4 linked regions of the Arabidopsis thaliana genome follow. The protein of the gene in region 4 interacts with the protein of the main gene of each other region in a pairwise test. Each region holds a gene or a part of one and is shown on either strand. Other genes may lie near its edges.

The links.
Region 1: the proteins of FBH3 (region 4) and AT5G54360 interact in a two-hybrid assay, tested with the Arabidopsis thaliana proteins (one large-scale study listed by BioGRID).
Region 2: the proteins of FBH3 (region 4) and AT1G16640 interact in a two-hybrid assay, tested with the Arabidopsis thaliana proteins (one large-scale study listed by BioGRID).
Region 3: the proteins of FBH3 (region 4) and AT2G31730 interact in a two-hybrid assay, tested with the Arabidopsis thaliana proteins (one large-scale study listed by BioGRID).

Annotation. Positions count from the first base shown.
Region 1 is NC_003076.8:22,069,255-22,074,614, reverse strand, and holds AT5G54360 (C2H2-like zinc finger protein), read right to left. Parts: upstream 2,754-5,360; coding exon 1,941-2,753; downstream 1-1,940. Other genes in the region: AT5G54350 (C2H2-type zinc finger protein), read right to left, coding at 3,695-4,480.
Region 2 is NC_003070.9:5,684,082-5,689,647, reverse strand, and holds AT1G16640 (AP2/B3-like transcriptional factor family protein), read right to left. Parts: upstream 3,124-5,566; 5' UTR 2,886-3,123; coding exon 2,820-2,885; intron 2,454-2,819; coding exon 2,115-2,453; 3' UTR 1,921-2,114; downstream 1-1,920. Other genes in the region: AT1G16650 (S-adenosyl-L-methionine-dependent methyltransferases superfamily protein), read right to left, coding at 1-36, 198-337, 547-651, 1,001-1,075, 1,170-1,253, 1,358-1,453, 1,532-1,654; AT1G16630 (uncharacterized protein), read left to right, coding at 4,899-5,566.
Region 3 is NC_003071.7:13,485,623-13,492,129, forward strand, and holds AT2G31730 (basic helix-loop-helix (bHLH) DNA-binding superfamily protein), read right to left. Parts: upstream 4,058-6,507; 5' UTR 3,717-4,057; intron 3,070-3,716; exon of another isoform or gene 2,974-3,069; 5' UTR 2,972-2,973; coding exon 2,855-2,971; intron 2,746-2,854; coding exon 2,680-2,745; intron 2,603-2,679; coding exon 2,537-2,602; intron 2,451-2,536; coding exon 2,406-2,450; intron 2,329-2,405; coding exon 2,161-2,328; 3' UTR 1,928-2,160; downstream 1-1,927. Other genes in the region: AT2G31720 (B3 domain protein (DUF313)), read right to left, coding at 1-353; AT2G31725 (FAM136A-like protein (DUF842)), read right to left, coding at 825-1,007, 1,082-1,219, 1,641-1,769; AT2G31740 (S-adenosyl-L-methionine-dependent methyltransferases superfamily protein), read right to left, coding at 5,431-5,634, 5,755-5,905, 5,995-6,161, 6,269-6,343, 6,418-6,498.
Region 4 is NC_003070.9:18,941,530-18,948,464, forward strand, and holds FBH3 (basic helix-loop-helix (bHLH) DNA-binding superfamily protein), read right to left. Parts: upstream 4,284-6,935; 5' UTR 4,085-4,283; coding exon 3,574-4,084; intron 3,295-3,573; coding exon 3,002-3,294; intron 2,887-3,001; coding exon 2,731-2,886; intron 2,625-2,730; coding exon 2,559-2,624; intron 2,475-2,558; coding exon 2,406-2,474; intron 2,318-2,405; coding exon 2,273-2,317; 3' UTR 1,918-2,272; downstream 1-1,917. Other genes in the region: AT1G51130 (Nse4, component of Smc5/6 DNA repair complex), read right to left, coding at 1-31; DEG6 (DegP protease 6), read right to left, coding at 6,841-6,935.

The sequences.
Region 1 (5,360 bases), on a different chromosome or scaffold from region 4:
TTAGAGAAGTCAATTACACGTGCGACCTAACGTTCTAACGAAGCAACGTCGCTCCAAGTCAATTTGTTCTTTTATATTTATACGGCGTCGTTTGGTTTTGCAACGAGAAATAAAATTTCAAAAACAAAAAGAAAAATGCGGTGAGCGTGGATCGAACACGCGACCTTCAGATCTTCAGTCTGACGCTCTCCCAACTGAGCTATCCCCGCTTGATGACGTTATCTCCTGAACATTAATATATAACATCTAAAACTAACAACAAGAACTTAGAAATCGATTTTACATATTTCTGTGAAATTCCTAGTCAGATTTTCCATCTATGTTGATGTTTTCAAAAAACTTGTTTAAAATTTCATAAAAGATTGTTAATTTGCGAAGTAAAAATACAAATTTGCAAGTTGAGAAGTATTCATATTCCTCATGTATTCAATATTGACTCTCATTGTCTAGCAAAAACTATAAAGTTTCATCATATAGCAACTCTCAATGCTATCAACTTCTAGACCACGATGATTGAACAAGAAAAACAAACTTCCATAAAAGCAGTGATATTAGGGTTTCAATAGTTAATTTGGTCGACATTGAATAAGATATTGGTAAAAATCGTGGCAACATTTTTATAATATAAAATTCTAGATTCCGTTTTGCTATTGTATATGTGCTTTAAGAAGATTGAATCTGAGGAATATGGAAATGGAAGCGATGATTTTCTGAGAGGTCATCCTCAACTTGAGCTTTCGCCAGAAGCAGTGAGAGCGAGACTTAAAGAGTTGGCTTTGGCTTTAAGGAAGGGAGGAGGACAAGCCTTTATAAATAATAAGTACGTAGCTTACTTCTTTTAGGATGATTTTATTGTTGGGTCTATCAACCCAACATCTCAAATGAAGCGACGATGTTCGGTATTATTCCTATGTAACTACTATGTAAGCTTTGTGTGAGGTATCTACAACCATAAACCTAAATCTTCACGAACTTAAATTAATATATAAATGATCTGCACAAGCTCCAAATGCAAAATTATCAATCTCCTGCTTGGAAGAAAAAGCACTTGTGTTTTTCAATATTGACTTTCATTTGTTTGAGAAAACAATCCAGTTGATCCAATAGACAATTTTCAATACTATCAACTTCTAGACCTCGATCTTCATACTATGGAATAAATGTCTTCAGGAAATTATCTTTAAAAGGAGATTTCTCTTGAACAAGAGAAACAAAAATAGTTTTGATTTTTGTTCAATAGAAAAGATCTTTGGAGAATGGAGATGCAAACATCAGTTACAGCCTTACAGGTTTTTAAGTTTTATAAATTCTTACTAGGATTACAAGATTATATTAATACATAAAAAAAATAACAGTTTTATTGGATAACAGTTGTATCTTTTTGTTACAAATATCCTGAAAGATGATTACATTTGTAATACAATCTAGTAAATCGGATCTGGGTCAAGGAAGAAAACCGGGCAAACTGGAACCAGCGAAACCCTAATCGTCAAAAGGAAACCACTGCCTCTTTTTTTTTTTTTTTTTTTTTTTTTTTTTTTTTTTTTTGTGAGGTTACAATTACAACAATAGAAGATCAGATAGACCTTCTTTCTGCCTCTTATTTTTTTTTTTCAATTTTCCAAGGCTAACAAATTGTCAATGAAGAGATAATGTCTCTTTAACTAATGTTTTTAAGCAAATTGCAGATTCTCTCTAACCTTTGAAAAAATTAAGTTCGCTTACGAAAATGACTTCTGAAAATCTCAAAAATTTAAGAACAATCATGAAATGTAGGAATTGAAAAAGGGATTTGATGAATTAATCGAAACATCAAAATCATCAAAAAGACAACAAAGAAACAAAAAGAGAAAAACAATTGCATGAAAAAAAGAAGAGGTGAACATAGGCCTCAATAGAAAACAGAAAACTGAAAAACACAAAGGGACATAGATAAATTACTACTCTCCTCTTGATCTTTTTTTCTTGGGCAACCACCTTATCATCCCGATATCCTCATCATCTTCAGGCACCATGACTTTGTTTTTCCCCTTTGAGATGAGACTTTTTGAGTGACTAGAGCCCGAACCATGCTCTTGTAAAGCAAAAAAATCATAACAAAGATCGGTGGTTGGATAAGCAGGAACATGTATATTGCTTGAATCAACCTGGTTTCCAGCAACCAAACTGTATCTAGGCACACAAGGACCCACGGGAGTCATTAGATTCCCATGGAACGATGAGTTAGTGTTGTTATTAGTGCTATTGTTGCTGCCTCCTGTGGACTTGGATGGACCAAGAGTTAGATCAAGATTAATACCATCAGTTGATAAAGCATGTGAGCTACCACCTTGGCCATACTTACAAGGGCCAACAGGAAGCCTTTGCAAGGTGAAAGGAGTACTATCACAAAGCATCGCATCCTCGATTATCTTTCGCTGCTTCTCCAATTCTCGTTCCTTTTTGTGGCACTTCATGTGACCGCCTAGGGCAAAACAGCTTTTGAAATTCCTCTTGCAGAAACGACAGGTGTGGCTGATCTTGTTATCCTTGGGAGGATGTATTAGCACGGTATCTCTTTTCTTTCGGAAAAAACTTAATCTGAAACTAGGCATCTCAAGGTTTGTCCTTTCAGACACAATCTCTTGAGGAGACCTTTGTTTCGGATTGTTTATTGTCTCCTTCTCCTCCACGGCCACAAGGGCACTTTTGAGTTTTTGATCATGTTTGTGTGGGGAGGAGGAGCTTGAAGAAGACATAGATTGGTTGTTCATAATTTGTTTTGTAAAACTTTGCTGACAGTTAGAAGTGAGTGATGTCTTATCTCTTTGCTTAGAGGCGATATTTATTGAGAGGATAGTAATTATTGTATTTAACTCGTTAAGGTATATAATCTCCAAGGGTAACAAATATTAATTGATACCGTAAAACTACTTAATTTTGTTTAAAAGCAATAATTGTTTCTCCAAGACTACAACTGTCATTCACTTTATTCTTTAATTTCTTTCTAGAAAATGATACTTCATAAGATAAAAACACAACAATATAATCAATATTCTTCATATGCGTTACGTATGACTACTATGAGTTATCTATATTCTTAAAAATATGGTTGTTTTTCTAACTATGGTGATTTTATACATTTTGTCTCTTTAATGTCTCTTTAACCTCTTTAACCTTTTGAAAAAATAACGTTTGCTTACGAATAATTGGGCCATGAATTCTGAAAATTGCAGGAATTTTAGAGCAATCATGAGATATAGGAATTGAACAAAAGGGACTGATGAATTAATCGAAACAACAGAGATTATTTGAAACGAAACGAAGAAACAATTGCATGAAAAAAAAAAGAGAGGTGAACATAAGCCTCAATAGAAAACTGAAAAATCAAAGGGACATAGATAAATTACTACTCTGGTCTTGATCTTTTTTTCTTGTTCAACCACCTTATCCTCCCGATAGTAGTATCAGTATAATCATCATCATCATCATCATTTTCAGGCACCACGACTTTGTTTTCCCCCTTTGAGATGAGACTTTTTAAGTGACTAGAGCCCGAACCATTCTCGGGTGAAGGAAACAGAAGATCGGTGGTTCCATTAGGAGGAGCAACAGGAGGCTCCACGGCTTTGTTCTTTTCCATTGAGAAGAGACTTTTCGAGTGACTAGATCCCGAACCATTCTCCTGTAAAGAAAAAAAATCATGATTGTTGTTTCAATAGGGAGGAGCCAAAGGAGGCACCCTGACTTTTTTTCCCACTTTGAGATGAGACTTGAGTGGCCAGTTTCCCGAACCATTCCCTTGTAAAGAAAACAAATCATAACAATAATAGGTGGTTGGATAAGATAAAGCAAAATGACGCACCATGGCTTGGTTCTTTCCCATTGAGAAGAGACTTTTCGAGTGAGTAGAGGCCGAACTATTCCCCTGTAAAAAAAAAAAATCATGACAAACATTGTTGTTTCCATTCGGAGGAATATACCTAGTGTTTGAACCAACCGGGTTTCCAGCAACAAAATTGTTTCTAGGCACACAAGGTAGCACGGGAGTGAACAATTTTCGATAGAACGATGGGTCAGTGTTAGACCAAGAAGATGGGTTAGTGTTAGACCAAGAAGATGGACCAAGAGTGAGATCCAGATTAATATCATTAGTTGAGCTGCTACCGCCATACGCTGGACCAAAGAGGCCGAAAGAGGGCACTGGAAAGCTTTGGAAAGGCGGAAGAGAAGTACCACCAGAAAGCACCGAGTCGAGATTTTTATCCTTTGGAGGATATTTTAGCTCGTTATCTCTTTCCGTTCGGACAACTTCTAATGTGAAAACAGGCAACTCAGGGTCAGGGATCGTGTTTTCAAACACAACCTCTTGAGGGGGCCTTTGTTCCGGATTGTTCATTGTCTCCTTCTCTTCCACGGTCACAACGGCACTTTTGAGTTTTTGATCAGGTTTTTTTGGGGTGGTGGAGGAGCTTGAAGAAGACACAGATTGGTTCTCCATTTTTTTTGTAAAACTTTGATGAGAATTAGAAGTGAGTGATTTCTTCTCTCCGGAGACGTATGGTATATATTGAGAGATTTAATTACTGTGTTGCACTCGCTAAGGTATAAAATCTCCAAGAGCAAATAGCATTAATTGTAACAGTAAATCTACTTTGAATTCATTGTTTTTTGTTTAAAAGAAATAGTTGTGCCTCTTAACAATCTTGACTTTTTTTTTTCTTTCTTAAATATACACCAATTTAATTAATATATTTCAAATTTGACTAGATTTTGTTTATATGAAGTTATGTGTTATATAACTACTATGAATAATTATCCATAGTTTTAAAAGTTATGGTTGTTTTTCTAACCATGTTGATTTATACATTGTCTTCCAAATTAAAATTTGGTGTGCATTATGTACCAACTGGCTTTGTATAATCTAATATTTATTTACTCATGATTTCAAGTACGTGTGTCTCTAGTTATCTTGACTTTGTTCTTTCTGTTTTCTAAAATGATACTTCATATGTTAAAAATACACCAATTTAATTAATATATTTCAAATTTGACTAGATTTTGTTTACATGATGTGTTATATATAACTCCAATGAAAGATAGAAAATATGGTTGTTTTTCTAACCATGGTGATCTTATACATTTTGTCTTCCAAAATAATAATTTTGTGTGCATACCAACTGGCTTTGTATAATCTAAAATTTATCTACTTAGCTAAAATATATCTATAATTGTTATAGTATACGTCATTATGTGTAAAAGTAAATTAAAAAAAACACTAACTCATTTCAATTTTTTTAAAAATGTTACGCTTCAGTTCGTTATATCGACCGTTGCAAACTGGTAACTTCATGTTATTTCATATAGCAATTAATATGTAA
Region 2 (5,566 bases), about 13 Mb from region 4:
ATCGTCATTGGAACATCTGGGCACTTGTTTCCTGAACTAACAGAGAAGAGGTTAAGTAGCATTCACAAGTCTAAAATACCAGAACTGTGCACAAAGAATTAGGAAAACAATGAGCGACTCTTCAAGCTAAAAATGGAAAGAGACATCTGATACTTGGTAAAGGTTTGAAATAAACTTATAATGAGCTAACCCCTTACCCAGATTTACGCATCTGTGCTGCAAAATGCTTTTTTATGCGTGCTGCGCGTGCATCTGTTACCTTTCCATGATGAGAGGAAGAATCGATTGCAACCACTGAGTGCTTATATTGGAAAGAGAGAACCTGCGCTAGATAACCCTGGACAAAACATTTACCAATGATGTTATTTAACACACTTTAGGAAAGCTATAATATACTACAAAGTTACTAAAACTCTGATATGAAAGAAAAACCATCACTCGAAATATTCCTTAAACAGCCAAAAAGAGAATTCACCAATGCAGACGAGAAAAAGGAACCATGCAATTAAGATTGATAGTTAAACAAGAGAAAGGGATTGAAGATACCTGGCCAGCACCGACATCAACAACAGTAGGAGCTCCAACACTCTTAACAACTGAGCTAACAACAGAGGAAAGAACTTCAACCTGCATGATACCATAATAAGTGACCTACAGATCCATTCAAATGAAGTGGCCAGTATAAGATACATTTGACAAATACCTTACGTTTAAACAAACATAAGTTTTGTACTAAGAAACTTTTATATAAAATGCTATGAGCTGTTAATGATCCTCAATTTCATGTTTTACGCGTGAAGTGGCAGATAACTTTGCCAGAATTTGATGGTAAAAAGACTTGAACAGCTACAAAAAAAATATATACTCTCTTTTGAATTTAAGGTTCTTGGATTGGGATTAGTCACCAGATGCAATCTACTGAAATTCCTACCAAAACAAGACATCATTGAAAGACACGACTTGCACCTCTGGATAGTGAAGTGTGAAGATAAAAATGTACCTCATGTTTTTTCTTAAGATTCATGCCCTGTGAAAGAACGGTGCTAAGAGGTACCATATCCACGTCTGCGAGTATCTGCCAACAGTCGAAAATGATTAAACTTTATTTAGTCTAGGATCTAAAAATACTAATCCTGAAACAGCACAAACAGGTAAAGAGAATACAATACCGCCTGTAAATCCGCTTGCTCTCGAGGAAACGATAGAGACCTCAACGTGTGAACAAATTTCTTTAGTGAAGCAGGCCAGTGATCCTATAATCAAATACTATAATCAATCATCTCCTTTCCAAACTAAAATAAAAATCTACCCTTTCTATCAAATATCTCAATCATGAAGACTGAGACCAGAACTTTACCTGGACACCACCGGAGGGAATAAGAAGAATATTTTCCGGCTTCTCATCCTTTAAGCAACTCATCCATTCCTCATTAACAGCTTCCCATTGCTTATCCTGGAATACAAACCCATCAATCAACTCATAACCCAACTCGAAGCTGAATTTAAAATTGTTTCCGATAATCGATCATACCTTGAAGAAATTGACAACGTGAGCATTGATTAGGAAAGAAAACGGTTTAAGGAAATCGATAATGGCTGTGATCCATTCTAGGGTTTCGGCTCTCGTTTTGCAAGAAAACTTATTGCTCTTCATTATCCCGATGACCTGAGTAGCAGCAACGATTCTAGTTTCCGCCGCCAAAAGCCAACCAAACAGCAAACACTTGCTTTTAACCGTCAAAATGTTTTCTAAAAATACCTCGTAAATTTTAATTTATTCAATTTAGCCCACATTTATTTATTCTGTTGTCAATACACCCATATTGTCACGTGGCCGAGTCTTCAAGAGACTCTAACTGCACCGGAAGGTTTTGACTCATGCCCCCTCCTACACTTCCTCTCATTCTCTTGTATTAACACTCTACTTCACCAAATACAATTATCACAAAAATGATAGCAATACACAGTAAATCTTTTAAACCATGTTCCAAAGAATGTAGCAGAAAGCAAATACTAGTATTCGTAATATTTAAACTAAACAACTGGTTACATAAATCCAACATGAAAACTGACTACTTAAACTTAAAGCAACTTAAAGTAGACCCAAATTTTAGTTACTGATGTTTGTCTTGATCGTCGCCGTCTTCTTCTTCTTCACCGTTTTCATAGTCATCAACCTCTACTGCGACTTGAGGGAAGTCTCTATATTCGCTACACATGTTATGACCATATATGATAACATAAAAGGTCCTGTCGCGGTCATAGATGAACTGCAAATACTTGCCATCTTCGAGATTGTTATCTTTTACAAAATTCTCCCAACCAACTGTAAGAAACACTTTCTCTCCTCTTTTCTTCATCCTAACCGTCCAAGATCTCCCACTATAGTCCAGGAGGTCCACAGTTATTGGAAATGGTGCTGGGAAGTATTCGTTGAATCCCAAGGGGATTTCCTAATCAAACATTTATATATAAAAAAACAACTCTCAGGAGACATTCCAAGAGCAGCAACGTAGAAACAATGGACTTGCTATTTTTCACTTTTCAGCCCCGCAGAAATGTTTGGTTCAAGCAGCCTATAACAACACCAACACATAAACTTCATTCTAAATCTAGCAAGATTCAGTAAGCTTTCATTTGCTTTTTGCTAATTTAAAGCTAACAAAAGCAATTAAAGGACCTAAGTTATTAGCTCCATGAAAATGAACTAAAGCAATTTACCCTAAACCATAAGTCTCCAAATCAGAACACTAAACACATATTTTGAACTTGTTGAAATAAGAAAATAAAAAAGAAGAAAGATAGAGAGCCATGCTCACCAATGATTTAGATGACTTTTCTGAGATGAAAGGCTTCATAAATTGAACCTCACCAGTGTCAGCCATGGAATAGAGTGAGACCAAATGTAGCTACAAGCAAAATCCAGAAATTGAAATGAAGAAAACAAAGAGAAGTGAAAGAGAGAAACCTTGAAAACAAACACTTTTTGTAATGCAGAAACAGAGAGAGAGCTTCAATGGTCCCGAGTGGACTATTTCAATTTTCTCTGTAAATCAAAAAGATGAAATGAGGAATTGATGTCATAGTCAAACAACTTGCCACCTTTTGACCAATCACTGCTTTTCTATTCTACAAGGCCACACCATACAAAAAGTACAAAACCAAACTCTTATTACTATTGGGCCAAATTATACAGCCCAATAGCCCAATAACGAGCTGAGACAAATCCTATCGACCTAGAAGATCCAACTTAAAACCCTAGAGTTCTCTCCACTATTTAAAGACCTCAAATCTTTTGATGTACGACTCAGAATTCTTCGAAACAGCGTCTGCTCTAGAAATTCAGTGTTTTCTCGAAGCTTCATTACTATTTTCTAGGGAAAAATTTAGAAGTTATTTTGTCTATTGTGTTGTGTTTTCTTAGATTTAAAGTCGATGTTTTACTCTTAATAAAGAGGAGAGAGCGGTGATAATGATGATGAAAGATGATTCCATAGAACAATCCAACTCTGACCATCATTGATGATCTTACCATCATGCACTACCATCTGAATCTCGCTCTCCCTTAAATCCTTTTCTTTTAGTATGAAATCGTTGATTTTGTTTTCTCAGAATCGGATTTTGTCGGATCTTTTAGTTTTGTCTCAATTTGCCTTAAATCGATTGAGAAAAATTCATCATTGGTTGATTTGGTTCTAAGTATTTCATACCAAAGTTCTGATTGTTATTTCTGTTGTTAAATTGATTTGGTATTTTTTTCTTCGTTTGCGTTCATAAGTCATAATGCAGATTTAACTCATATCAACAGGTTGATATTCAATAGCAAAAATTTGGCCTGAAAGAAGGAAAAGTAATCCCCTCAGAATTCAATTCTCATGGACTAAATTAATCTAGAAACGTAATTGTAACAATTGTCTAGAACTATTTTGATGGTAGTTATTCCGAAAACGATTAGTTCTGCAACATGAACACTCATCTTAATTAATCACTTTCGCAGATAATCGCAAAATAAGTTATAAATCCATAAAATTATGAAAGATATTCTGATTTGTGTCGATGAGGTTCACACAGATGTGGTATTTGAGGATGACTTTTAGAAAAGGATTTTATTTCATTGGAACTCAGAAAATAATGTAAACTGGGCCTATTTAGTTAGCCGATGACCAAATTTTCTTTAATGTCAGTCAAAAGCCCGTTAAGTAAAAACCTTCAACATAATTGGTGCTTTCACTTTTTCCATCAGTGGACGGGCCCAAAGCCTGCTTTTCTGATTTACCTGTCTTTTTAATAGGTTGATTAACGTCTCTTACCCTTTACGAGAGCCCATAACGGCTAGTTTATTCTCTGCGATCAGACGTGTCATCATCGTGGCGGCCCAGTTACATCGTCTGCTCTATTTTCCGGCTACAGAAATTGAAATTTTGTTTTAATTTGAACCCCAAGGTTTTGAGAATCATTAATTTCTTCCCACTGTTTCTACATTGTCCATAAATATCCACGTTTATAAATTTAACAACTTTACAGGAAGAAAGAGGAATCAAATCTTACGTTGTGAAGTCTTTAATAAGCATGGGGCATTTAGATAGATCTTAAATTTATGGGGAGATAACAGAAATTTGGAAAACTAGGGTATCAGTGAAAAATGGTCAAAATCAGAATCAATTTGCAATACTTAAAATTATTAGGGATTTTTCTATCCACTATGTATAAATAAATCGCAAATTGGCAACTAGCCGTTACGATCTCTCTATCTCTCTCTCTTTTAAAAATTCAAAAACTTAGGAACTTTTTACATTCACAATCTTGCAGATTCTTGCATATTTTCTTTCCTTTAACGAGCGCAAAAAATCTGAGATTTGTTAAATAACCCATTCTGATTTCCGGAGTGATTTTCATTCATGGCGTCTTCTCCAGCAAAGAACAAGATCTCTGTTTCTCCTTCTTCTCTATTCTCTTCCTCTTCGCCTTCAATGCCTTCCAGACCAAACCCTAAGCAAAGAAACTCGGAAACCGGAGATCTGATGCGTCGCAGTTTCCGAGGCAATCCATTTTCGGCAGATCCGTCCCGGAGAAACTCAATCGGTAGAGAATGCAGTAATCGTGTTGAGATTGGTGATAAAGAGAATCAGAACGACAAGGATCAAATCGCTAATGTCGTCAAAGGTCCAACAAAAGGTTCCAAGCATTTCATGTCACCGACAATTTCAGCCGTTTCCAAGATCAATCCATCGCCGAGGAAGAAGATCTTGTCTGATAAAAACGAAGTGTCTCGATCCTTTGACAAATCCCATCACCAGGTTCAGGTAAAGTCGTCTGTCTCGTTTTCTGATGTGATAAGCATCATTGGGGAAGATAAAGATGTAGACCAGATTTGCATCGATGAAACTAAGCAGCTTCGTGAAGAGGAATCACATGATATTACTGTCAGTGATTTCGATGAGATTCTTGAGAGGAAGAGTAATGATAATTCAAGCTTCAAGATCAGTCCTCTTCCTCCTTATGTTCCATGCACATTTCCTGTGTTTGAGTCTCATGAAGTGGATCCAGTGGTGGCACCTTATGATCC
Region 3 (6,507 bases), on a different chromosome or scaffold from region 4:
TTTCTGTTTCTTACCGGTTTGTTTGAAACCACTTTTTGAGGCCTCTTGGACTCTAGATGGCACGAACTTGGAGAAGAAGCAACACGATTAGGGTTTTGTTCCGGGTCTTGATTCTTGCACTCATCAATCTTCAGTCGTTTGCTCAAGCTGGAATTCATAGTTGTGCTCAGACTGTAATTAATTAATCTTCTCAGTCTTCTCAGTCTCTCCCTCCTTTTATCACCTTCAGTGGATGTTTCTCCTATTTCCTCATATGCAAAAGCGCTAACCGTTCTCTCCGTCGCTACACATAAAATATCTAACGCTCTCTTCCCTCCCTGCAAACCATTAAGTTGATCATCTCCTCTCACCATTGTTATAAAAAATAGAGAGACAAGAAGAAAGAGTTAAGCGGCAGAGAGGAGTTTATAGTCTTGCTTTTATATGATTCTGATTGTCAATTCCTTTCACAAACGAACAAAGGTATATATAACTCTCTATTATTTTTTATTTTTTTTTGTTAGTGATAATCTCTATATATTTTTATATTAGTTTTAGATATTCACTAAATTACTTGCTTCTATTCTATTGGTTAGTCTCTTTTGTTCGGTTCAATCTTTAAATTCATGTATTTATCCTCAATTTTTTTTTATAGAGTTTTAAAGTTTTCGCTAGGGAAGATGAAGAACAAGCAAATACAGTTATTCCAAAACAGTGGCAAATTTTAAAACTTAATATAAGAAAAAGGAAAACAAATTTGTAGATCATATTAAGACAAAAGAAAAGGTCTTTTCAAACAATATGGCTAGTCAAGTTCTGGAATCCAAGGTTTTTCACGAGAGCTTTTAGTTGGTTATGTTAAATGCTGTCTTCATTCTCTGCACAATATGTGGTAATGTATTGAGATTTTCCTCAATGGATTTGTGCACACAACTCTCCATCTCGTTAACCGCTTCAGGCCTTATCTTCTGGAGCTTTGAGGCCTCAAACTTGTCTTGACACACCACCAGTGATCTGTTCAATCTTTCCTATACATTCATTCAACAAAAATCAGTCTTTATACACAGCAAACTATGTATCATCTTTTAGCAGATATCTTTACCTGAAATTGAGCCATTTCGTTCTCGAAATACTGTTGAGATTTGACAACGGGAACACTGCAGTGCTCGACGCAGTTACTTATCTCCTCTTGCTTTCTTCTTCTATCAAAGCACTCATATGCACATTTGAAATAAGCTTGCTGCAACAATGATATCGTTGTCAGGGTTTAATTAATTTGAATCAACGGATCATATAACTCAATATAGCAACCCAAAAACACAAGAGAAGGTGTTAATAACTCTCATGCTTCTGAAGACAAAGCAGAGCAATTGTTATGCAACGAGACACGCCTACTTATCGAATATCCTACAGAGCACAATATAGTAATTAAACCAGAGCAATTGTCGTGAACCTAATCCATAGTGTCTAAAGACGAATATAGTACGAACCCAAATGCAAATTTTCAGACTTTTTTCATGAACCTACTCAATTCATCAAATTTGAAACTAGCATTGTATCAAACCAATAAAGATTCCATATTCAGAAGCTAACATTGCTAAATTGTTATATCAGAGAGAATTTATGCTGAGCTCGCGAAAAGTACAGATTTTTGTATATACCTGAAGGGTGAAATTGATGTGATCTTGGATAGGAGAAAGCTGAGTCTGAGCAGCTACATTAACTTCTTCAAGCTTTCTTCGAAGTCTCTCCGATACGATTTGCTCTTCCGCCGCAGCGATGTGATCCATTGTCGCCTTCTCTGTTTAGCGTAATTTTGATTTTAGGGCTTTAGGGTTTTAGCTAGCTGCTCTCTTCAATAGAAGATCCTTCAATAGCCGCAAACAAAACGGGTTTGACAATTTTGGGTCGGGTTAAGTTTCCCGGGTTTCTCTAAACCGGTTAACTCTTTTTCACCAATTCAAACTTTATTAAACAGGAAGCTAATTCCGGTCATTGACCGGTCCGTTAAACTTCGCATTAGAATCAATTGTTACAAGAAGCCACCACAGAGTTGGGATTAAGCAGTAAAAAATAACAGAAACAGCCATCACCGACTTCAAGGTCTCTCCATCAATACATGATCAGACCAAAGCTTTGGCTAATTTTCATTAGTCTTGAGACAGAGAATTTAGCAGCAGCTCATTGAAAGGGCGAATTAGAAGACGAGAGATTAAAAGCATGAGAAGATGTTGGAGTCTTCACAGGAGCCCAAATATCAGCACCATTGGTTTGAGCAACTTCTGATGTATACTCCAATGGAACAAGACATAGCCCTTTACTTCTTAAGCTGTACTCTTCCACTTCCTCCTAGTTACAGAGATGGAAAATATCAGTCTTGCATTGTGATCCAAGTAAACGAGATCCAGATCATAGATTCAGCTCACCTCTGTAGTAGAAGGGGTTGCTTGCAGATAAGGAGCACTTAGAACCTGAACAGAGAAAATCAAGCATAATCATCATTGGATTGGAGGAGGTGAATGAATGAAAAGTATTTGATTAGAAAACTTGAGCAGACCTTGACTTGTTCTTGAAGAAACTGAATGTATTGCATTCCCTCTAGAAGAACTGATGCAGTGTCGGTCTGCATAGATAGAGACTTGAACATGGCTAGAGAAGACAAAGAGCGTGTAAGAAAGATTATTTCGGACCAAGTAGTACCTTTCCGTAAGGGGAAACTAGTTGTTGAAGAGCTGAAATACGTTCTGCTAATTTGTCTTTCCTCTCCTGTTTAAACCACAGAACAACAAAGTTTCAAGATCATTAGCATGCTGGTACAGAAATGTCCGGTAGCTTCATAGCCACAATGAATTTTGATTTTGATGTATCACAAGACCTTGGAAGAGAAAGAGAGATCAGATGACTTGTGTCGTTTAATTTTGTTATCTTCAAGCGAGTAGACATTGCGCTTAGTCTCCATCATCATCTCTGCCGAGTCTCTAGAGTATTCCATTCCTTGTCATCAAACAAAACAAAAATGATCGGTTTTTCGACATAAGAAACCGGTTTACTTGCTACCATTTATAAAGATAATCTCATGGCTTCATCCAAGGCAAGTTGCAGAAAAAAACATAAGATTACAACTCAACAACTTGCTTTTGCAAGCGTCATAAGGACAAAACTATACGCCTTGAGATATTCTCAGACCAGACAAACAAAGTGGTGTCTTGGTTTTAACATCAAAATTAGATGTTAACTACTACAAATTAAGGGATGCAAATCTAGGTTTGGACCAACTAATGCATTGGAAGATACGACTTTTGGATTAGAAAACAAGAGCAATGGTCAAAGAAAGTAGATAATGGTCAGAGGTTATCCATATAAGATCACATCAGCTTAAAGTATTATTTAAAGTTTAGTAGCACAATCATAGATGTTTAAATATGATATCATACTTTGCTTCCATACATAGACAATACATTGTAGGATGCATGAAACTACGGAATTAACTCATTAATTTAGTTCATCTAATGAGCAGAACTAGTTAATCATTATACGTGTTTTTATTTTGGATCGAGTTAGCTCCATTAGACAAGATTCAAAGCTAAGCAAACTTCAATAGAAAAACCCCACAAGAAGATGAGAACAAAAAATACCAAAAGATTCATGATTTTATTTTGCCTTAAAATACTCTAAGTTAAGTCAAAAAGACCAAAAATGGGGAACAAAACAGAGTAAATGAAGAAAAAAGAACTTACAGAGAGAAGAGACTCAGCATTTGCCAGAAACAGCAGACTAACCAACAAGTAACTTCACAAACTCTAAAACTTCTTGGTCTAAGCTCTCTAAATGGGTATTTATGTCACCCTAAGCACAAGACACGATGAAACCCATAAACGAGGATCTTGGTCTCTCTAGTGTATATATATTTTTACTTTCTTTTGTCTTCAGGTCTTGAAGAAAGCCATTAATGAAGCCGGAGCTCCAACGGTGACACGATTCCAGAGGTTTGTGTTTGGATGAAAACGGCGTCGTTACTTAAAGGGTCGTGAAAGAGAGGAGTTTTAGTTTTATGTAGAGAAGAAAGCAAAGAAAAGAGGGGACTACGTTTCATATGTCTTTTTCTTCATTTTGTTTTTCCTTTCGTCCTCTTCATTTAATTCTCATTAAATCTATAGATTTTTTTGTGAGACAAATAAATTGTTAGAATATATAATCGTAAAACTTTATTCTGTTTAATTCAAATCTCTTAATCAATCGAAACTATATTATATGTGTTATTCAGTACTATTTGACGGTTAGGAAATAATTACTATAGTAGTAATTAGGAAGTAACTTGAAGAATTTAGTTTAGTGTATATATTTGGAGTTAGGGAATGTAATGGAAATGTAAAAATTTGACAGCTAATGTACAACCAATGGTGAGAGAGGTCCTTTTACCAGTCCCAGATAGAAGTCGCTTTCATTATTTTCATAATAAAATAATAAATAAGCTAATAATTTTGAAAGTGACATTTGATTGTTTTTTATGTAGTTTTGTCAAAATGATTTTGACCAATTCTTCTGCATCTGTCACTTCTTTTTCAACTTTGTGCTTTTTCTTGTTTTGTTATCCTTTCTTTGAAATTTTCTACGAGGGAGGTTGGTTAATGCAGCGTACCCTTTGGTTGATATCCGAGTATATTCACATTTTCAAGTTTCAACGACACAGCTTTTTGTTTATATGGAACAGAATCTATCTTCTTTTGTTTCTCCAAAGTAAACAGCTAAATACTAACCCAAAATTGAAAAGCATAAACAAATAGTTGAATCTAACCAAACAAACAGAAAAAACAAACCTAACTATAACTAAAAGGCAAAAAATATAACAACAATATTGATTACATGCAAAATATTTGAAATGTTTACAAATGTCCAATTGATCAGCGTTCCATATCGGACCCACGCGGTTTCTGAATTTGTTTCTTTGCCACAAATGTTTTTCTTTTGTCTTCGCGGCGACCAGATTTTGGTTTAGGTGTTTCAATTTATATCTCTCTTACGTACGTACCAAAATCGGCCTGTATCAAAGGCTTTCTTTCCCAAATTACAATATTACAACCATAATTATTATAGCTCCAATGAATAAACAGCAATTATGCTAATCACCATTCGAGCATTTCTTAGCAACAATAAGGAAGATCACTCAAATCAGAAACAATACGGATAGTTCCCAAAAATGCACAAAATTAATCAAGACATTGATGTTTAACTTACATTCCAACTTCACTATCATCCAAATTGAATGCTTCAATAAGTTGGTAGGTCTAACAATCATAAAGGTTATGAAAAAAACTCCACGCTTCATTTTCCATTTGCGTATGGACGAAACTAGGTGTATTGTATATAATATAGTCTCAAAAATTTCAATCTTAACTTATAACAGAAATATATCTCACACGTCTTTTTAAAACGAAATAATAAAGAATGTTTTTATTTCCAGCATTTCAGCTTCTTTGTAGCGTCTATGATGCTTTGCTTCGTTTCCAATCTCTGGCACTTGAGCAATCCCTCCAGTATAACTGCAGATTCTGGAATATCGTTCTCGCTGATTACAGATTCAGAGCAAAGCCCAAAGAGCACTACGTTTACGTCATCTTCCTCTTCTAGTTGCAGGCCAAATAAATGATCGAAAACCTTGGCAAAAAACAAAACAATAGAGATCAATTCTATGACTCAATTTCCGTGCAATAGTATCAGATCAGATTTGTGAAAATATGCAGAGAATTTACAAGGAATGAATCACATTTGCTTTACCTTTTTCATTCTTGATACTACCATATCTTTGACGGACTGTGATCTCGTGACCAAATTCACTATGAAAAGACCGTGCTGAGGGAGAGCTTGCTTAACCGAAAGAAGAAATGTCTCTTCGATAAAATCAGATGCAGGGCAGGTTAATCCGCCGCTGCAGACAAGAGATCAAACAAGAAAACAATCAGGCTTACCATGTGGGTAAATTCATAGATATGTGAATTTACTTGCCATGTCTTTTACCTTGAATCTGCTGAATCCACATCTATAATTAAAATGTCAGGACAAATTCCACCTTGTGTATTGTGAGTGGTTGAATCTCCATTTGAGCCAATGTTTGACGATTCCTCAGACGAAGCTTCAGAGTTTGTTATATCTCTAATGAATTTGATCCCATCAGCAATATGCACCTATTATAAGAATGCGAACGAGCTGAGTGATGGTGCATATAATAGAATAGAATATAAACATGTTAAAGTTTAGCCAGCACTTTTGTTGTAAAGAGGGAGAATTTTACCTTCAAGCGATCATTTTGTGTGAAACCAAAGTAATCCTTGCCAACACTAAGCATTACTGGGTCAAGCTCAACCGCCTATTCAACAGGATACAGAATATGAGTGGCAATAGAAAATACTCAACTTGATTAATCCTTTAAACTGAAATTACCTCAATACTGAAAAATGGCAAGCATCCATGGAGGAACATGGGAAGTAATCCTGCTCCAAGACCAATTACAACAGTCTTAACCTGAAAAGC
Region 4 (6,935 bases):
CTTCCGATTCTCGCTTCACCGTCTTCCTCATGGTGAATTTAGAACTGTCGAACAAGGAGAGACGTTGAAGAAGCGAAACGAAGAAGAAGAAGTGGAGAAATTGAAAACCCTAACGGCAGGTTGAATTTGGGGATTTTTGATATTTTTGAGGGAAAAAAGGAAGAAAGAGAAAATTAATTCGATGATTTTCCCGCCGAGCCCATAAATAGTTAGGCAATTAGCAAAGTATCTAATTCCAACTAAATCGTGCTTGCGAAGCTTTGGGATTTTCAGCTTTGGTTCTCAATTAACATTTATTGGGCCTTCTGTTCTATTTAGTTGTTGTTGGGCTGTAATTCAAAATTTGAGCCTGACCTTGAATTGTGAAAATTTTATGGTTCTTGTATATTAAACATCTCATGGTTAATCATAATCACTCATTTATTTGCAAATCGTTTTGACAAGTATAATTAATTTGTATTGTTGTCGCTGTTAAGCGTCATAGGTTTTTGTAAAAATTTACTTACACTATTGTATTTAGACTTAAAAATATGTAACAAATTAACAAATTATTGTCAATTTTAGACAAATTAAACCAATGTGGTACAACATATTTTTTTAGTTATGAATTTATACCGTATAAATATAAAGGTTACGAATTTTAGATTTTGTTACATATTTTTAATTCATAACTAAAAAAATATGTTGTACCACATTGGTTTAATTTGTCTAAAATTGACAATAATTTATGGCCTCAAAGCTCGGAAGCAGATAATATAAATAGTAGGTACACAATATCCGGCAATTGCAAAAAACAAGTGAATTGTATACGCGATCCAAAGATGGAATAACTAAATCAACTTAGTTTATCGTGACTAAAAAGTAATCGTAAAGGGTGTGTTATCTTTATGTGGTAATGTGAAAAGGATAAGAATTTGATAATGGACATGTTAGAGCATTTCAGAAGGACACAACACATTAATATGCGCATTATCGTTTTAGGAATCATATCGTAATACCTTTTTACCTAACGAACCTTTTTGGTTTTAAGCTGATGATTAACACTTGTAACCTTAAGAAGCAAAATTTTACAATATCTTTGTCACGTGTCACTCCCACAACTTAGTGCACCTTCACATGACTGCCTAAAAAGAGCAAAGAAAGAAACAACAAAGACATGGTCCCCAACAATAATCAATGTTGGCAAGATTTTGCCCATCTTTTTTGTTTGGACAAGACTTAAGGACTGTGATGTATATGCTTCGTAGGGTCGATTCATAACATCAAATTAAAAGAAATATTATAGATTTTGTTTCGTTCAAAAACTTTAAGTTTTAATATGTAAACATTTTTAATAATGATAAATTTAATTCTAAAATATAGAGAATATTCCTTGATTTTATACAGATTATCATATGAACAATAGGAACGAAGAAAACGGATAAAGTGGAGCGAATATGTGTGTTCACATAGAACGTCTTAAATGTAGTTTTGGATTCAGCTCTATAACAAAGAAGAATGAGTAAGAAAAAAAAATTTGAAGTTAATGTATGATTCAAGCTTTAATGATTCATTCCAAATATCATGATTGACCATTATGAATGTTTTTAAATTGTAACTTGTAAGATACCATTTTTCCACATGTCAAGGAGATCAACCATTGTAAATAATTTAAATAGTAAAAAATATGACTACCACATCTTCCACAGATCTTGGAGACTACTAAACTTCGATTTTGGATACTTAGATGAAGAAAAAATGAATACAAAAAGTTTAATAACAAACTCTTGAATCGTCGTATCATGTTTCGAGCACCTACTTGATTATCTAAGATAAAAGTTTGTGGATTTATGAAATTATCTTTAAGCTAGCAACTTATCTTAGTTAGTTGGTCTTTTTTACCATTATAGTCATATGTTCAAGATTTATGAAATTGTTGATGATTCTAAGTTTCTAACAAAAGAAAATAAACTAATTACCTGAATTATTCTTGAGTTACAATAAAATAAGCTTCTCATTGTACATCACTTCTCTTCTGCTTTTCTTTTTTTTGGATGTAAGAACATACAATAGCATTGGAGTTCGGACCATTACACAACCTTGCTACTTTCTTCCCTACCAAAAAAAGGTTCCAACTTTACAAAAACCCTTTTCACCACCACCACCAAATTTAGCTTTGTTCATGATCTCTTCTCTACTTTGCTATCTTCGACTTTTCTCCAAAGGCCGAACCGATACTTCTATGCACAACTCCCTCCCTGGCTAGCACTCGCGCATACTCCCACTTCTAGTTTCACGCACTAGAGCATCTACATCTTGCCCGACTCTCTTCGAGCGCCTGACCAAAAATAAAAGTATTCAGTTTCTTACAGAGTGAACAAAGGGATTCAAGAGTGATTAGTATGCAACACTAGTGAGATCATTACCTTCACTTGTTCTTGCAGGTCCTTGATGTATTGAACCGCAAGATCCAACATGTCTGCTGTGTTTGTTTGCTGCATATCAATTGAAGATGATAAATACATTGAGCAAAGAACATGAAAGTACGAATATGAGAGAGGAAGATCGCATAATCTAACCGTGTCCATGTTTGGAACAAGGTCTTGCAGCTTCCTCATTCTTTCACTGATCTTGGTTCTTCTCACCTGTTCCACAACATTTTGGAAACATATATAATCGTTGGAGAAACTGATATTATATCATCATGGAATCAATGCCACTGAGAGCATAATAGTAAGGGGAAAGATTTACCCTCTCGGCTATGCTTCGAGGATGAGTTGCACAACCCCGCTTGGCTCTGATCTTACATGGGATAGAATCTGACAGTAACTGTTCAATATCTGATAAAGACTTGGGCAAACTCATGTGATGTGCCAAAGGAGGACGTCTACTTGCTGAATCCTCATCCTGTTAAATTGAATTTCTTTAGTACAATCAATCAAACAAGAACAATAGCAGAATGAATTTTCAACCGCAAGAAGTTGGTTTCAATGGCAAAACGTCTCTCATTATAAGTTCATACCTTGGTTTTGTATTGATCTAGACCTCCAGATTGGGTCCTAGCAAGAGCTGTAAGCTTGGAAGAAGCAGACCCTTCATTCCCAAAAGAACGATTAAACCCACCGGAAAGCGTCCGAGGAGGCAATCTAGACGAGAAACCGGGTTTAACATCAACCTCAGAGATCGGACTCATCGCTCTAGAAGTAGGAGGAAGTAACTTGCTTCTAGGAGTAAGAGACGAAGCTTCAGTATTGCTTGTACTCATCACATTACTTCCTCCAAAACCTCCCATACTTTTCATTACAGCTGCATAAGCTGCAAAATTTCCAAGAAAAAACAGAACAAAAGATTCAAAAAGACTTCACTTTTCATTCATCACCAAATTTAGTGATTAACAAAGTACTAGTTGCAGATAATATCTGTAATAAATAGCAAATCAATAGAATCCAATCTACAGAGACCAAAACAAGCAAGTTGCTTTAAAATCATTATAGTCCTATCAAAATCCTAAGTATATTCTCATAAAAGTTACCAGAAAAAGTTTCCAGATTAGGAAATAATTTCTAATTAAAACTAGAAAGAAAAGAGTCAAACCTGTTTCAACATCAATGGATGAAAATAATCCGGCCGGTGAACTATTATGACGAGCTAGATTATTCACCGGAGTCCGATCATCTTTCTCTCTTGGTCTCTTATTCCTCGAAACCGAAGCCACATACCCAATCGATACTTCAGGATTCACTGAGATTTCACCATCACCGGAAACAACAACCTCCATCGCCGTCGCCGTCGCAGTCACCGGAATTTCAGCATCTTCGTCCTCTGTTTTAACTTCCGGAGGTTTCTTCTCAGTTCCATCACTGTTAAAAGTATGGTGAAGGAAACTATCAACGTTGTCGCTTGTGTCGGTGGTTTGTAAAAAGCCAGATAAGATTCGCTCAGTTTCAGGACTTGTGGGTCGATCTAAAAACTCTTCGATTGATTCACCGAAACTCGAAAAGTACGAACTTGGTGCTGATTGGTAACGAATCAATCCTGAGTTTCTTGGTCTCTGGTGTTGATGATCGTGGAGAAGGAAGTGATGTTGCTGGAATTCTGATTCCATCTTAGTAGCTTTTGAGTTTCTCTCTTCTTTGGTTATTTTTTTCTCCGTTTGCAGTACCACACCGGAAGTTTCGTTCGCCGGGAGATGAGATTGTTTCCGGCGAGAAATTAAAATTAAAAAAGAGAACGTGAGAGAAACTTATGTGCAAGAGAGAAGAGGAGAGGAAGAAACAACAGAGGGCAGGTAGAGATTGGGATTTATTTGTGATTTGACTAAAATACCCTTTATGGTGTCTTCTTATTACGAGTGGAACCCTTGATGCTGACACGTGTAGGCCACGTGGGGACCACGTTAACATTTTTATAATGTTATGTAACAGTGAAAAATAAATATTGTTTTCGAGAAAAATATTTTGATGTCAATTTTTTTTTTTTCGATGTGATTATTATTTTTTGTAAATTTGGTATACTTCCAATCAGTGTGGCTATTAAATGATTTTTCTCGTTTTTCAAAGAAAAATATCAGCAGCTTTTTTTTAATGTTTTTTGGACTTTATCTTATTTTTAATTTTAATAAATGAATTTTAAAATCAGCAATTATTGAAATGATTCAGAACTTTTAATAAAATAAAACGACGACTATATATAATTGTGGGAATTAAAGCTGTTGACTTATAAAGCAATAAAAATGGCTGAGAAAAAGGACATATGTCGATATGACGTATATTGAAATGACGGATAACTTAAAAAGAAAAACAAACTATAATATTTATTAATAAATTATAAAAAAATAAATAAAATCCAAAAATATAAAAAGAAGAATAAAATGAAATGAAAATAGTTGGAGGATCAGACAGGTGTTGTTGATATGGCAGTCTAGGGCTCCAAATTTTAGGGAACCTTTCAAGCGACTTAATCCAACTATTCACGTTTAAACACGTATGTACCTCCGCATAAAATATAGGACACGTATTGTACTTACGTTTTTGTATAATACTAGTACTTGTTTAAAGTTTAAAGACCAAGTGCTATTTAATCTACAAAATACTGTACATAACAACAACTACTAATACATATCCGAATTCAAATTTCATTATCCACTTCAATTAATATGTCGTATTTGCGTGTTTGATTTGGAAAAACACTTGAGAGTCGAATAGTATTGAACTTTCTTGCTATTCGATGAAATACAAACTGGTTAATAGAAAAAAGATAAATACTTATATAAATATGTGTAGAAAAAATCAGAAATGTGAATATATATGACATGGTAGTGCAATGTAACTTCTTGATTCATCAAAAGTGGACCTTAAAATCAAAGGGGAAAAAAATGTGACCCTAAGCTGCCGCTTATGTGGCTTATGCGGAAGGCCGGCCATGACCAAACCGAATTCAAATCGATAAAGTGCTTATATTCATGTTAAGGGACATAATCAGAGTCGGGCCATAGTTACAATCCATGAAACAAGAGTTTTACACGGCAAATTAATATGACTACATGAGTAATTTTTTTAATCACATATTAATTGAAAAATAATTTTATAATTGGTTGCCCAATTAAGAAGAAAAATATTGTATGAGTAATTTGAGCGTCATTTTAACTAAACGTTATTGTAGTGTAGTAAGAGATTCAATTCCAACCAATGAATTATTTTAATTTTTTTAACAGTTTGTGTTAGTGGATCAAAAAACAAAATATTTATGCAGCAAAATAGTTTGATACCGATTAATGCCTTGGGCGTTAATTATACTTAAAAATATCAAACGCTTGTAATCTATCTGTACTTCAGTTTTAAAAAATTGGTGATATCCTCAAGAAAAAAACAAATTTTGGATTTCTTTCACAAACTAATTAATGAATTCAGGAAGCTGTTATATAGTATTTTTAAAATCCTAAATCAGCAATGAATTTAGCAACTTTTATATTTTTAGATCTGGGTTGTTAACATAGAATAGAAACTGCAGAGCAAAAGCTAAATATAAATTCTAATCGTTTTCTATATTTTGTTTGTAAGGAAACATTTTGGTGTCAAGAAAGTACTCGTTACTTTGGAACAAAGAAAACAATACCCATAAATATAAGATAAGGTTTGAGAATGTGAGAATCGAGGTGGAATACAACAGAAGAAGCACAATCTCACGTGGAACTTAGGCGTGAAGATCCTCTTCCTAGAAATAGTAAGCCACCAATTTAGAATCTTTCTCACTTTCTTATTGTTTATAAAAAAAATGTCTTCAAAAAGTCTTTTTGGTTTTAGCTTTTTTCAGCACATTTAGTCCCTTTTTCTTGAAATCTTAGTATGCATTGATTAATCTATATATGGTTTTAAAATAACAGTTTCAGTTTCATTGAACTATATTCAGGTCAATATCTAGTGTAGTTACAATTGATTAGAAAAGTGCATGCATAATTTTGTTTTAAAAACTTATAATTCAATGAACACATATAATGTACATTCATTTCGACCAAAGTAATAAACTCACTAAACCAACTGAAATGTTAATGAGCTTAGGCTTACTACTTTGTTCTTAACTTAAATATCGAAACCCATTAGCATTATGGGCCTTAATAAGATTCATGGCCCAATGATCTTTTTGCTTCATCTTCTGCTTTCTTCTACGACAACCTAACTCATCCACTTCTTCTCCTTTCACAACTCTTCTTCTCTTCTTTACCCCTATAAATTTTACATATTAGTTTATTTTTAATGTAAATTTGATTGAATTTGAAAAAATACTTGGTTAAAATTAGGGTTTGACCCCTATAAATTTGTTCTAACTTCCAAATGACCCCTTTAGTTGATATAACTTTTTAATTTATCGTCCATCATAAATTTTTTTGTTTATTTGACCGCTATAAAACTTGTTTGTAGATCCGCCACTGGTATATACATACATTTTAATGGAGCTGT